Linked DNA regions of Anolis sagrei. The protein of the gene in region 2 interacts with the protein of the main gene of each other region in a pairwise test. Links are inferred from orthologs where the notes say so. Each region holds a gene or a part of one and is shown on either strand. Other genes may lie near its edges.

What was found.
Region 1: the proteins of NMT2 (region 2) and ACBD6 interact in binary tests that used the Homo sapiens proteins (3 or more experiments, as listed by UniProt). The link is inferred for Anolis sagrei from reciprocal best matches to the Homo sapiens genes NMT2 and ACBD6.

What each region holds. Positions count from the first base shown.
Region 1 is NC_090024.1:125,161,128-125,169,196, reverse strand, and holds the start of ACBD6 (acyl-CoA-binding domain-containing protein 6), read right to left. Parts: upstream 3,029-8,069; 5' UTR 2,895-3,028; coding exon 2,637-2,894; intron 1-2,636. UniProt on the Homo sapiens protein: Binds long-chain acyl-coenzyme A molecules with a strong preference for unsaturated C18:1-CoA, lower affinity for unsaturated C20:4-CoA, and very weak affinity for saturated C16:0-CoA. Does not bind fatty acids. Plays a role in protein N-myristoylation.
Region 2 is NC_090026.1:104,884,380-104,891,351, forward strand, and holds the start of NMT2 (glycylpeptide N-tetradecanoyltransferase 2), read right to left. Parts: upstream 3,094-6,972; 5' UTR 3,053-3,093; coding exon 2,943-3,052; intron 1-2,942.

The DNA of each region.
Region 1 (8,069 bases), on a different chromosome or scaffold from region 2:
TTTGCATATTTGTATATTTTAATTTCTATGCTCATGTTTTTATGTTAAGCTGCTTCTGTGGTTTTTAACTTTGAATATGCTTTAATAGATTTTAACTGTGAATTTGTAATACTGCTTATATTTAATTGTTTCCATGTTTGCATATTTGTATATTTTAAATTGCATGCTGATGCTTTTATGTTAACCTGCTTTGTGTCACCTTTGGGGGAGATAAAACGGGGTGGAAATATAATAATAACTAGTCGTCCTCTGCCACACGTTGCTGTGGCCCGGTCTGGTGATATGGAAAATAATGAGAAAGTGTTGGTTTCTAATATATGTGATTTCTTTATGCTTGTGGGTAAACAGTATTTCTTGCTGTTTCTTTGTCAGTGTTGATGTGGAGATTGTCTGGTTTGCCTATTCTGTAACATGTAACATATAATTGTTTTTCTCCTTTTCAGATCTATGATACTATATCTGTGTGTGTGAGAATCATACCTATCTATATCTATGGCTGGATGGCCCTTTGTCAGGAGGGCTTTGATTATGTTTTCTTGCATTGGTGAAGGGAGTTGGACTGGATGGCCTTAAGGCACCATTTCTCAACTTGGGAAGTCAAGACCCCCCCCCCCCGGGGGGTGTCTCCAGGGGGGTGTCAGAAGGGTCACCAAAGACCACGAAAAAACACAGAATTTTCTGTTGGTCATGGGGGTTCTGTGTGGGATGTTTAACCCAATGCCATTGTTGGTGGGGTTCGGAATGCTCTTTGATTGTAGGTGAACTATACATCCTAGTAACTACAACTCCCAAATGTCAAGGTCTATTTCCCCCAAACTCCATCTGTGTTCACATTTGGGCATATTGAGTATTCCTGTCAAGTTTGGTCCAGATCCATCATTGTTTGAGTCCACAGTGTTCTCTGGATGGAGGTGAACTGCAATTCAAAAATTCAAGGTCAATGCCCACCATACCCTTCTAGTGTTTTCTGTTGGTGGTGGGAGTCCTGTGCGCCATGTTTGGTTCAATACCATAGTTGGTGGAATTTAGAATGACAGGACTGCGGGGATACAGAAATCCCCGAGATTGTTCGTGAAGTACAGGAGGGATGCCAGTGGCCTTCCAGTGTCTTTGCAATGCCTATTTGATTGGTGTATCAACGAGCAGGTTGAAACCGTCCTCAGAATGTGAAGGGTCATTCCACAAAGTTGATGTCCACTTCTACAGCCTTCATTAGGGGCTTGCAGCTGGATACACTTTGCCGTGCTGCCACACGGTCCATGCCGCTTACCTTCATGTCCCACTCCGAATTGGATGTCTCCTCTAAGAGGGATGCTTCATTTGGAAGGGCAGTCCTTTTCTCTGCGGTGGCATGACGCCCACAAGCCAGGGTTAATAGCTCGCTAGTCTACCATATGTGCGTATTCACAGTTGACCACGATGGGAAAATATAGGTTGCTTTTATGACTGGCAGTAATCACTGCACCTTGTGGCAGAGGGTTCCCTAGTCTTGTTCCCCACCATGAGATTTTTATCTCTTCCGAATCTTCCATCATTCAGCCTCATTGCATTATTATTATTATTATTATTATTAAACTTTATTTGTACCCCGCTAGCATCTCCCGAAGGACTCGATGCGGCTTACAGAGACCAAGGCCTCAACACACCAATCGCAAACAATAACAATACAATACAAAGCAAAAATTAAAACATAAGCAATGACAAAAACATTACACTATTACACATTAAAAACAGGCCGGGCCAATGATGGGTACAGGTTAAAAAGTGCTGGATGTGACGGTGGTATATTGGAATTCTGGGCAAGTGCAATGTGCAGAGAGTCTTAACTCTAATAAAGTGCTTCTGGGACATGGTGCTGGGCGGTTATCCTATTCTGGGAAGGTACATCTGAATAGCCAGGTATTCACGTTCTTCCTAAAGACTGCCAACGTGGGTGCTAGTTTAATGTCTTTGGGGAGGGTGTTCCAAAGTTGGGGGGCAACCACAGAGAAGGCCCTGTCCCTCGTCCCCACCAAACGCGGCTGTGACGCAGGTGGGATCGCGAGCAGGGCCTCTCCGGATGAACAAAGGGAGCGTGTGGGTTCATAAACTGAGATGCGGTCACGCATTGTTCCAGTTCCTAGTCTTATGAAAGAGAGGGGAAAACAGCACCCGGTCAAACAGGTCAAAAAGCACCGGGAGTCCTATGTGCCAGGTTTGGTTCAATTCCATAGTTGGTGGAGTTTAGAATGCTCTTTGATTGTAGGTGAACTATAAATCCCAGAAACTAAAACTCCCAAATGACAAAATCAATTTTTTTGAGTAAAGGACATACATTGGGTTGTTAGGTGTCTTGTGTCCAAATTTGGTGTCCATTGGCCCACTGGTTTTTGAGTTCTGTTAATCCCACAAACGAACATTACGTTTTTATTTATATAGATGATAATAATAACAATCACTTTTCAAATCACCCGGGCATGGCTAGTGTACAATAAAGTTATTCTACTCTCTGCAGGAAACTTCTGAATGGCAGCCGAACGCCCTGCGGCGAAGTTGGCAGAGAGGCCTTGAAGAGTCCCTTTGGGGAGGGGGGGAGGGAAGGGGGAGCGGGCCCTTTAAGAGGCGCCTCCCCTCCTGCCCGCGCGCCCCTTCCTCACCTGCTTGTAGCGCGCGTAGAGCGCGAGGAGCTGCTCCTTGCTGGCCACCGCCACCAGGCCCGGCACGCGCTCCGCCGCCCGCTCGAACTGCTCGGCCAGGCCCGGAGGCGAGGGGCTCTCCGAGTCGGAGCCGGGGCCCGGAGACTCCCCCAGCAGCGCCGCCGCCACTGCCGCCGCTCTCTCGCCCTCTTCCTCCTCGTCGCCGGAGCTGAGCTGGTCGCCTCGGCCGCCTTCCTCAGCCGGGAACGGGGACGCCATGGCACTCTCACTCCATCCTCCCTCTTTTGCCTCAGAGAGAGAGAGAGAGAGAGGCGGCTCGCGCCCAAGGGCTAAGCCACGCCCCCCAGTCCCCTTCGCCGAGCGGTCCAGGTGGGACCCCGGCACTGCGCACGCGCCGCTCTAGGAGAGGGGAAAGGAGATTTAGACAACACAAAGGATATAGAGTTAGAAATGAGTTAGAGTGATAGATTCCCCACACACACACTTCGCCAGCGAGTCGCGTTCTGTTTCCTGCTTCTATGGAGCCGCGCGCACCTTTATCGTTGGAACCCTTTTCGGTCAGAGTGGGGAAACCCCGCCCCCTTTTTTGTGGAGGAAAAGGCTTGTGTCTGCTTATTGATCTATCCATTGGATTTAAGACTTAAATCAACAAATAGTTTTCTAAGACCACACCTGGAATATTGTGTCCAATTCTGGGCACCACAATTCAAGAGAGATATTGACAAGCTGGAATGTGTCCAGAGGAGGGTGACTCAAATGAGCAAGGGTCTGGAGAACAAGCCCTATGAGGAGCGGCTTAAGGAGCTGGGCATGTTTAGCCTGAAGAAGAGAAGGCTGAGAGTGGAGGGGATGTGGTTTTAAAAAGGGAATTTTCTGATATTTCCCCAATGCCCATATGTCATGATTTACTGCCATATTGGCCTATTTCTGCAGTAGGCCTATGTTCACAGAAAATGCTGATTGTTTGAGAAATCAGTGCTCCAAAGAAGAAGTTACTATTCAAGGATAACAATATATCCGGACAAAACCAGCTAGCTGTTGGCTAGTTAGAACCCCCAAGTTTCCCAGTCGCTCTGAAGCCATGTTTGCAACAGACTAATAGATAAGATACAGTCATGGTCAGAGAACAATGGACTATAGTTATGTTATAGATGTGCCATTGTTAGGATCCCACGTGTGCTATAATGTCGATCAAAATCATAAACAACTAATGAACAACTGTATAGCTAACTTAGACCAATGAAATGATTTGTCTTTGGGAACCAATGAAAATGTATATTCCATTTACTATAAATGCTCTGCAGCCCCATTGGGGGTTGCGACAAACCCTTTGATTGCATCCCTGTATGCTTGTTTGTCGTTATTGTTATGGCCACGCAATAATAAATAGTTTTTTTTGCAGTTTAAAGGATTCTACTTTCGTGGTGTCCATCCTTGCTCTCCCTATTAGAAAGGGGGCTTCTGCCTTTTGGGAAATATTCTGGTTTCGTTGCCCCTACAAGAGGAGATATGATAGCCATGTATAAATACGTGAGAGGAAGAGACGGGGAGGAGGGAGCAAGCTTGTTTTCTGCTTCCCTGGAGACGAGGATGCAGAACAATGGCTTCAAACTACAAGAAAGGAGATTCCATCTGAACATGAGGAAGAACTTCCTTACTGTGAGAGCCGTTCAGCAGTGGAACTCTCTGCCCTGGGTTGTGGTGGGGGCTCCTTCTTTGGAAGCTTTTCAACAGAGGCTGGATGACCATCTGTCAGGGGTGATTTGAATGCAGTGTTCCTGCTTCTTGGCAGGGGGTTGGACTGGATGGCCCATGAGGTCTCTTCCAACTCTCTGATTCCATGATTCTACATGTTAGGGACAAAAACTCACATTTGTATGGCCATCTGTCAGGGGTGATTTGAATGCAATATTCCTGCTTCTTGGCAGGGGGTTGGACTGGATGGCCCATGAGGTCTCTCCCAACTCTTTGATTCTATGATTCTATTCTAAGATCTACAGCAGGGGTCCTCAAACTAAGGTCCGGGGGCCAGATATGTCCCTTCAAGGTCATTCACCTGGCCCTCACTCAGGGTCAACCTAAGTCTGAAATCACTTGAAAGCACACAACAACAATCCTATCTTATCAGCCAAAAGCAGGTCCACCCTTCCCATTGAAATACTAATAAGTTTATATTTGTTAAAATTGTTCTTCAATGTAATTATTGTATTGTTTTAAGGTGGGGGGTTTTTTGCACTACAAATAAGATATGTGCAATGTGCATAGCAATTCATTCATTGTTTTCCAAATTATAATCCGGCCCTCCAACAGTTTGAGGGACTGTGACCTGGCCCTCTGTTTAAAAAGTTTGAGGACCCCTGATCTACAGAGACACTCGCTGGAACACCTCCGCAGGGGTCCCGACCCCCAGATTGAGAAACACTGATCTACAGCAATGTGGGGGAGAAGAAGAGGGAGGAAAGAAAGAAGGAGTTGGAGGAGGAAGAAGGGAGCAGGACGCAGAAGAAGGAGAATTCAAAAATAAAACTTGTTTCTGCCTCTTTCTTTCCTCCTTCTTATAGTGAAGGGAGGGAGGCAAGAAAGAGTTGGCGAAGAAGGGACAGTCTCTCTCTCTCCCCTCCTCTCTCCCTCCATCCTGCCTGCTGCTTCCTCTGGGGGATGAGGAGGAAGAGGAGGCGACAAAGTGGAAGGCAGCCAAAAGAAGGCTGCTGTTTCTGCTGGTTAGGGAGGGACTTGAGGAGCCTATCCACCGTGCTCCTCCTCTTCTTCCTCACTCCTATGGTGCCCACTCTCGCTTGTGTGTGTGTGTTTGTGTGTGTGGCCATGCACACGCACTTGAATTCTAAGGCTTTAACAGCCGGCTGCTTCCCCGCCAGGAGGAGGGGGCGTGGCCATGGGTCTCTTTGTGGGCATGCAGTTTCTCCTTTGTGGATATGCAGTTTAGAAGTCCTTTCTGCTTTATTTTTTGTGGGTTTTTTTTGGGGGGGGGGTTAAGGACATACATCGGGTTGTTAGGTTTATGCTTTCCAAATTTGGTGTCAATTGGTCCAGTGGTTTCTGAGTTCTGTTAATCCCACAAACGAACATTACATTTTTATTTATATAGAAGACTAGCTATCCCCTGCCACGCGTTGCTCTGGCCCAGTCTGTTGATCTGGAAAATAAAGAAATGAGAAAGTGTTGGTTTCTAATATATGTAATTTCTTTATGCTTGTGGGTAAACAGTATTTCTTGCTGTGTCTTTGTCAGTATTGATGTGGAGAGTGTCTGGTTTGCCCACTCAGGAACATGCAACACATCATTGTCCTTTTTAAGGGTCCCTTTCAATCTATGATACTATATCTGTGTGTGTGTGAATCATCTCTCTCTCTCTCTATCTATCTATAGCTATGGCTGGATGGCTCTTTGTCAGGAGGACCTTGATTACGTTTTCTTGCCCCGATGAAGGGAGTTGGGTGGATGGCCTTAAGTATTTTCTGGTGGTTATGGGGGTTCTGTGTGGGAAGTTTGCCCCAATTCTGTCATTCGTGGGGGACAGAAATTATTTATTTATTTATTACTGCGCTTATATACCGCCGTTTCTCAGCCTAAATCGGCGACTCAACGCGGTTTACAACACAACGACAAGCAGCAATATTCCATTAAAAAGCATAAAAACACATACACAATACACAGTATTATTGGGCCACCAATAATAATCCAATGCATCTCTTAATTGTAGTCGCAATCCAATTTCGTCGTCTGTGATTAACCAATCCTTGTTAATCAGTTTCGTTGCACCAGATTAATCGAATGCTTGTTTAAACATCCATGTCTTCAACCTTTTTCAAAATACTATCAGCGAAGGGGCTGATCTCACCTCTATGGGGAGGGCATTCCAAAGCCGAGGGGCCACCACAGAAAAGGCCCTGTCTCTCGTTCCCGCCAGCCGCACCTGTGAAGCAGGCGGGATAGAGAGCAGGGCCTCCCCAGAAGATCTTAGGGTCCTGGTGGGCTGATAGGCCGAGATACGTTCGGATAGATAAGTTGGGCCAGAACCGTTTAGGGCTTTAAAGGCCAGCGCCAGCACTTTGAATTGGGCCCGGTAGCAAATCGGCAGCCAGTGGAGCTGGTACAGCAGAGGAGTTGTATGCTCCCTGCGCCCTGCTCCGGTTAGTATCATGGCTGCCGCCCGTTGGACTAATTGGAGCTTCCGAGCCGTCTTCAAAGGCAACCCCACATAGAGAGCGTTGCAGTAGTCAAGACGGGATGTAACCAGAGCGTGGACTACCGTGGCCAAGTCAGACTTCCCAAGGTACGGTCGCAGTTGGCGCACAAGTTTTAACTGTGCAAATGCTCCCCTGGTCACCGCCGAAACCTGGGGTTCCAGGCTCAGCGATGAGTCCAGGATCACACCCAAACTGCGAACCTACGTCTTCAGGGGGAGTGCGACCCCGTCTAACACAGGCTGTAACCCTATACCCTGTTCGGCCTTGCGACTAACCAGGAGTACCTCTGTCTTGCTCTTTGATTGTAGGTGAACTATAAATCCCAGTGACTAAAACTCCCAAATGTCAAGGTCTATTTCCCCAAACTCCATCTGTGTTCATATTAGGGCGTATTGAGTGCTTGTGCCAAGTTTGGTCCAGATCCATCATTGTTTGAGTCCACAGGGCTCTCTGGATGTAGGTGAACTACAACTCCAAAACTCAAGATCAATACCCACCAAACCCTTCCAGTATTTTCTGTTGGTCATGGGAGTTCTGTGTGCCAAGTTTGGTTCAATTCCATCGTTGATGGAGTTCAGAATGCTCTTTGATTGTAGGTGAACTATAAATCCCAGCAACTACAACTCCCAAATGACAAAATCATAATTTTTTGAGTGATGGTCACTCCTTGTGTAGCTTTGGTTAGACCACATCTGGAATATTGTGTCCAATTCTGGGCACCACAATTCAAGAGAGATATTGACAAGCTGGAAAGTGTCCAGAGGAGGGCGACTAAAATGATCAAAGGTCTGGAGAACAAGCCCTATGAGGAGCGGCTTAGGGAACTGGGCATGTTTAGCCTGAAGAAGAGAAGGCTGAGAGGAGATATGATAGCCATGTATAAATATGTGAGAGGAAGCCACAGGGAGGAGGGAGCAAGCTTGTTTTCTGCTTCCTTGGAGACTAGGACGCGGAACAATGGCTTCAAACTACAAGAGAGGAGATTCCATCTGAACATTAGGAAGAACTTCCTGACTGTGAGAGCCGTTCAGCAGTGGAACTCTCTGCCCCGGAGTGTGGTGGAGGCTCCTTCTTTGGAAGCTTTTAAGCAGAGGCTGGATGGCCATTTGTCAGGGGTGATTTGAATGCAATATTCCTGCTTCTTGGCAGGGGGTTGGACTGGATGGCCCATGAGGTCTCTTCCAACTCTTTGATTCTATGATTCTATGATTCTATGAGACGTTTT
Region 2 (6,972 bases):
GTGGTTCCCAACCTGAATCCATGGACCACAAGTGCTCTGCAAGAATGAAAATATGGTTCGCGGCCTCACCATTACACCGTTACCTTGAAACCATGTGGCAACAAGAGCAACTGGTCTCGCAAAACCCTCTTCTGGTGCTGATTTTCCACGAAAGATTACTACTACCACATGAGCTCTAGATCATTAAATATAGTTCTCTGTGGGTGAGGAGATGGCAACTACTGGATGGCATATGTTCTATCAGAAACTAAAGCTGATGTGGTCTATCCAATGAAATTTTCTGAATCAGCACCCCAAATAATCAAACCAAATCTAGAGTTGATAGAAAACGGATTTGTAACCTTTTTAATACAACTGTTGGAGAGTGGTCCCTGGCCAAGTGGTCCATGGTCAAAGTGGTCCCTGGTCAAAAAAAAGGTTGGGAACCACTGCACTAGAGCATGGATCCACTTTAAATCCAGTTTCTGCCTCCTGCAGAATTTTGGGGTTTGTAGTTTATTGAGGCCTAGGTTCTGCCTTGCTGAGCAGTTTAAAGGCCTCTTCATAAACTACAAGACCCCGAATTCTGCATGAGGCAGAAACTGGATATGAAGTGGATCCATGCTCTAGTGTGATGAGGTCCTCAGAGCAGTGGTTCTCAACCTGTGGATCCCCAGGTGTTTTGGCCTACAACTCCCGGAAATCCCAGCCAATTTACCAGCGGTTAGGATTTCTGGGAGTTGAAGGCCAAAACATAGGGGGACCCACAGGTTGAGAACCACTACCTTAGACGCTGCCTCAAAAGATTACATCCTGCATTATTAAATTTGTATTAATTCCCACGCTCTGGCTCCAAATTCTCCCATGACCATGGATTGGAATTCCTAATGGATGTATGTACAGGAGAGAGGGCAGGAAATTGTAAACCCATAAACATGTATTCTTATGCTTAAGTTTATTTACACCCTGGTTTTTCTCTCCACAAGGAGACTCAAAACTCAAAACTTGTGTCCCATGACTCTGGTTAAAAATGTGTAGGTTGTGTATATCTTATTCAAAATAAAGTATTTTGGATATCAGAGTATCTGTATTTGTATATAGATACAAACATAAAGAGCTATCTTGGAGACAGAGCCAAGTCTAAACATGAAATTCATTGATGATTCAAAAACGCCTTACACATATAACCCAGGAACGGACAAACTTTGGCCCTCCAGGTGTTTTGGACTTCAACTCCCACAATTCCTAACAGCTTAGCAGGAACCTAAGGAGGAACCTAATTAATGGGGGGGGGGGGGCAAGGGAGCCTAATGGGGGAGGAGGTAAGGGAGTCTAAGGTGGGGGGGGGGGGGGTAAAATAATCTTAATGGGAGGGGGTAAGGGAGGTTAATGGGAGTCAATGGAGCCTAATGGGAGGGGGGTAAATAATCTGAATGGGAGGCTAATTAATGGGAAAGGGGCAAGGGAGCCTAATGGGAGGCAAGGGAACCTAATGGATGTGGGGTAAATAATCTTAATGGGAGGGGGTTAAGGGAGCTTAATGGGAGTAAATAATTTCAATGGGAAAGGGGTAAGTGAGGCTAATTAACAGGAGGAGGCAAGGGAGCCTAATGGGCTTGGGATAAATAAATCTTAATGGGAGGTGGCAAGGAGGCTAGTTAATGGGAGTGAGGCAAGGGAGCCCAATGGGAGTGGGGTAAATAATTTGAATGGGAGGAGGTAAGGAAACCTAATTAATGGCAGTGGGGCAAGGGAACCTAATGGGAAGATGGTAAGGAAGCCCAATGGGAGGGGGGTACATGGGAGGGGGGTACCTAATTAATGGGAGGGGGACATGGGAGCCTAATGGGAAGGTGGTAAGGAAGCCTAATGGGAGGGAGTAAGGGAAACTAATTGGGGAGGGGGGGATAATCTGGGAGGGGGCTGGAAACTATTTCATGGGAGGGGGACAAGGGAGCCTAATGGGAGGTGGGAGGGAACCTAATTGGGGGGGGGATAATCTGATTGGGAGGGGGCTGGAAACTATTTAATGGGAGGGGGACAAGGGAGCCTACTGGGAAGGTGGTAAGGAAATCTAACTGGAAGGGTAAGAGAACCTAATTAATTGAGGTGGAAGGGAACCTAACTGGGGTGGGGGTAAATAATCTGAATGGGAGGGGGCTGGAAAACCTAATTAATGGCAGTGGGGCAAGGGAGCCTAATGGGAAGGTAGTAAGGGAGCCTAATGGGAAGGGGGTAAATAATCTGAATGAGAGGGGCCAGGGATCCTACTTAATGGGAGGGGCGAGGGAGCCTAATGGGAAGGTGGTAAGGGAACCTAATTTGGGGGGGGGGAATAATCTGAATGGATGGGTGCAAGGGATCCTAATTAATGGGAGGGGGGCAAAGAAACCTAATGGGAAGAGGGATAGGCAGGTTAATAAATGGAAGGAGGGTAAAGGAATCGAATTAATTGGGGGGGGGAGCCTAATGGGAAGGGGATAAATAATATTATTTGTAGGGGGGAGGAAGCCTAATGGGAGGGGCAGGTAAATAATCTTAATAGGAGGGGGGCAAGGGAGTCTAATGGGAATTTGGTAAGGGAGCCTAATGAATGGGAGGGGGAAGGGGGCAAAGCCACTCCCCAGGATGGGTCCAAGAAGGGCAAACCCCAGATTTGGGAGCCAAGAAGGGAGAAGCAAGAGGCAGGATTGGGGGGGGGGGTGTAAAAAGAGAGAGAGAGAGGCCTTTCTGCCTGGGTGGGTTCCCTCTTGGCTGGCCATCCCTCCTCCAAGAGAGAAGAGGGGAGGCGTCTTGCAAGAGGCTGCACAAAAGCGTGGCCTGGGAAGGAGGACGGGGGCCGAGGGACCTCCTCCTCCTCGACCAGGGCTGCCGCAGGGGCTTGGGTGGGTGCTGCCTGCTGCTGCTGCTGCTCTTCCTCCTCCTCCTCCTCCTCCTCTCCTCCCACGCCCGGCCTGGCCTACCCCTTGGAGTGCTCCGTCTCCTCCTCATTGTCGCCGTCGATGCCGCAGGTGTCCTGGTCGTCCAGCTCGAGGCTCTGCTGGCTGGCGGCAGACTCGCTGTCCTCCGCCATCACGGGGAAGGAGGGGAGCCAGGCGGGCGGGCGGGCAGGCGCCGCCGAGAGGAGGAGCCCAGCACCAGCCTATGGGAGGCGGGCAGGCGGGCGGGCGAGAGGCAGCGGGAGCGCAGGCAAACAGGCCCGCCGCCGACGGAAGAGCGCCCCCTGCAGGATGCTGCGCTGTATGCAGGGTTCATGAACTGCTGTGGCAGGCATGGACCAACTTTGGCCTCCCTCCCAGGTATTTTGGACAGTTCCTAACAGCCAGTATTGGAAAATGTTGACCATTTCCGCTACCTTAGCAGCCACCTCTCCACAAAAGTCAACACTGACACTGAAATACAACACCGCTTGAACTCTGCGAGTGCAGCATTTTTCTGAATGAAGCAAAGAGTGTTTGAGCACCGGGACATCCGGGACATCCGTAGGCAGGCCTGTAGCGAGGGGGTGGTTTTAGGGGTTCAACCCCCCCCCCTCCCGAAATGTTTCAGATTTTTTAAAAAAAACCTGGTTTACTCATGAATGTTAACTGGTTAACCTAATCCCTATGCTAAGTCTATGAGATGCAAAATATTAAGAGTCCCTCCAGAACTGTAAGCACTATCTCAAGCAAATATTGACAATTTATTCACACTGTCATTACTTGCAGCAATAGCCGATGTTCTGTCGCCACTGGGTCCGAACAAAATGTCTTTATTCTATAGAACGCACACTTTAAACCCAGCGGGAAGCCGGGGTGCCCGAAGAGAGATTGGTAGAGACTTCCAGAAGTAATGGGCTTGAGAGTCTTTAAAAGTACAACAAAGTCTTTATTAAGGAACAAATCTTCAAACAAAACTTTACGGCTTTACTATTCAAGTCTTTAAGAGACTGGCACTAACTTGGTTTGACTGTGCTATCTCATAAGGAAGAACTCTTTATAATCCCTCCCAAGCCGTCCATCACCTAGGCCTCACTGGTCTGGGTAAAACTGCCGATCCCCAAATGCGTCTGGAAACCGAGTAACCTACCAGACGAAGCTAGAAGATGTTTAGCTGGAATTCTGTGGTTCTGCAGTGATGTCCTGTGGAAACTTCAGGGCTGTTTTCCCCTCTGGTGTTGTGAGGCTGAGAGGCTGTGAGCTCTTAGCCAGAGCCTTTGGGACCTTTTCCTTCTGTTTCCCTGGAACTGGATGGTCACTGGATGACCCCTGGATGGTCGCTGGATGATCCCCGGATGGCTATTTCCATTTCCCCGGAAGGTTTTGAGGAATGAAGCCTTTCCTACGGGACTAGCTGATCTGCGTCCTATAGACTGGCTTCCTTGTGTGACTGAAAATAGGCCCCTTCCCTCCAAAAGGCAAAAAGGGGGCGGGACCAGGGATCCTAATTATAACTGGCAGGTGGCTTACCCTATAAATGCAAATTATAACAGGAAACCCCCTGCTGCAAAATCCCAAGCATGGGTTTGCACACAAACATAAACACAGCAAATAAATCTGGAGCTCCTGGAACAGCTGTTCCAGAACAGCCAATGTAGTGAAACAATCAAGTTGGGTGGGGGAGGGGTGTTGAATGCTCTCATTAAGGAGGCCAGACTTGGTGGAGGTGGTTGACAGGGGCGGAGCTGCAGGCTATTGCAGGTTGCTCTGCCCCCTGCTGTGCTCTTGGCTTCAGCGTGAGCTAGGAGGCAGGTTTCAACCCCCCGCCAAAAGATTTCAACCCTCCCCGAAATTTTCAACCCCCCCCCCTGAAATTTTCAACCCCCCCCGAATTTTTTTTCTGGCTACGGCCCTGTCCGTAGGGAGACCAAGGTGCTTGTTTATAAAGCTAATAGCTGTCCTGTGCCATGCATTGTTGGGACCCGGTCTGTGTATATGTGCTTTGTGTGTGTATACATTTGTGTACATGTGTATATATGCCTCTTTGCATATGTGTGTGTGTGTGTGGTTTTGTGCATGTGCTGTAGTATCTTCTTGGGGTTTTGTTTTTTTTTTTTTGGCATTTTAAGACTCTTCAGCTGTGTTTTTATGAGTGATGGTTACTCGTTGGCCTGATTGGTGTAGACACTGAGAACCGGGAAGCCCTGGCCCTTGAGTGCTCTAGCTGGAGGTCAGCTGTGACCAGCAGTGCTGTAGAATTTGAAGAGGCACAAATGGAGGGCAAAAGAGAGAAACATGACAAGAGGAAGGCATGTCAAGGCAACCCTGACCGGGACCGCCTTCCAACTGGAAACTGATGTCCTCACTGCGGAAGAATAGGGCTCCACAGCCACCTACGGCTGTTAGGAATTGTGGGAGTTGAAGTCCAAAATACCCAGAGGGCCAAAGTTTGCCCATGCTTGCTTTAGGCTTATACAGTCCCTGAGTTACAATCATCCAATTTAATCATCTGACAACTCCTAATTAAGAACTGGGGCGAGACAACAGGAAGTGAGAGGAATCTATCCTTTGGAAGGGAAATTCACTCCTGGAAGAGTTATTATTATGGGGAAAAGGTGTCTCCACTGAAGCTTTATCACCAATCCTTGTTTCCACATGTGAAATTCCCCAAAATCAAATTCGCACAGGGATAGGAAGTAAGGAGAAATATTCTGACAGGGGCACAGACAGAAAAACAAACACCACAGGGGTGTTACCTCTTCCCTATGCTATCCAAGCTGGTTTGAAGATTGGATTCAGCACACTGGAGAGCTACTTTAAAAATTGGACTTAATTGGCTGAGGGGGAAAAGGAAAGGGCCTGAGGTTGTTAGGAATGGTGGGAGTTGAAGTCCAAAAACACCTGGAGGGTCCAAGTTGGTTCAGGCCTGGTCCACAAGCTCCTTGTCCTTCAGTCAGGAAAGTTTAGGCTTGAGACTTCTGTGGATCTTCCTCCCTTTACGTAAGAGAAATCTACATAAAGGTATTCAGAGACTACATGAAGATAGCAAAGTTCCATACATCCCAGGTTAGATAATTTGTCAATCTACATAGAACTGCTCATAACTAATTCTCTTTTCCAATAAGAAAGGTATTACATTTATTTATTTATTTAAAACATTTATATTCCTCCCTTCTCACCCCGAAGGGGACTCAGGGCGGACACAGCATGCACACACACACACACATATATAATATCTCAATGGAACTCGTATCAGTGTTGGCTTACCCCTTGATTCAGTGGGTGTACGCTAGTTGGAAATAGCGATTGGATTTAGGCATACAAGGAATGTGATCCATTTTGTATTGTAAATGAGATTTTTACTGTTATTTAAGTGTTGATCTTTACTTACTGTCCTGATTTTTTTTAAAATACTGGTGGCCAGATTTTGCTCATTTTCATGGTTTCCTCCTTTTTGTTGAAATTGTCCACATGCTTGTGTATTTCAATGGCTTCTCTATGTAGTCCGTCCATGAAAGCCTTTGACAACACAGTCTTCAAGCTATTGCAGCCATGGAGCAAGTTCATGCCATTAAACCTTACTTGTTTTAATAAGATTGCTTTCTCCCCTCCAGCAACCAATTTGTTCTATTTTTGGTCCTATCATACTAAAAATAGCCTAATATTTTATAACTCATTATTTAATGACTGGCCATTAAGTAGTAGTGGAAGGTATTAAAATAGACTTGATTAAATTTTTAATGGTGCTGGAAGAGAATGGCAAGTAGCAACCCTTTTCCCTATCATCTTTAAATTGAAAGAGCAAGATATCTCTCATGGTCTTTAACTTTTAAGCCTCCAAATTACAAGATACCAGGTTACTTGACATGTAATGGCTAAGCAAGTATTGTTATTCTCCCCAAGCATCTTGAGGTTCTAAGTTCATAAGAACCTTAACTTCTGCCTCAAGTTCTCCTCCCAGAGTCAATGTCTGCTAAGGAAATTGTCTTCTTAATGGTGGTACCTTGGTTGTAGAATGACCTCAGAGACTGACTCACATGGTACCCTCTTTAAACCTCTTTCCAGTGTACCTGTT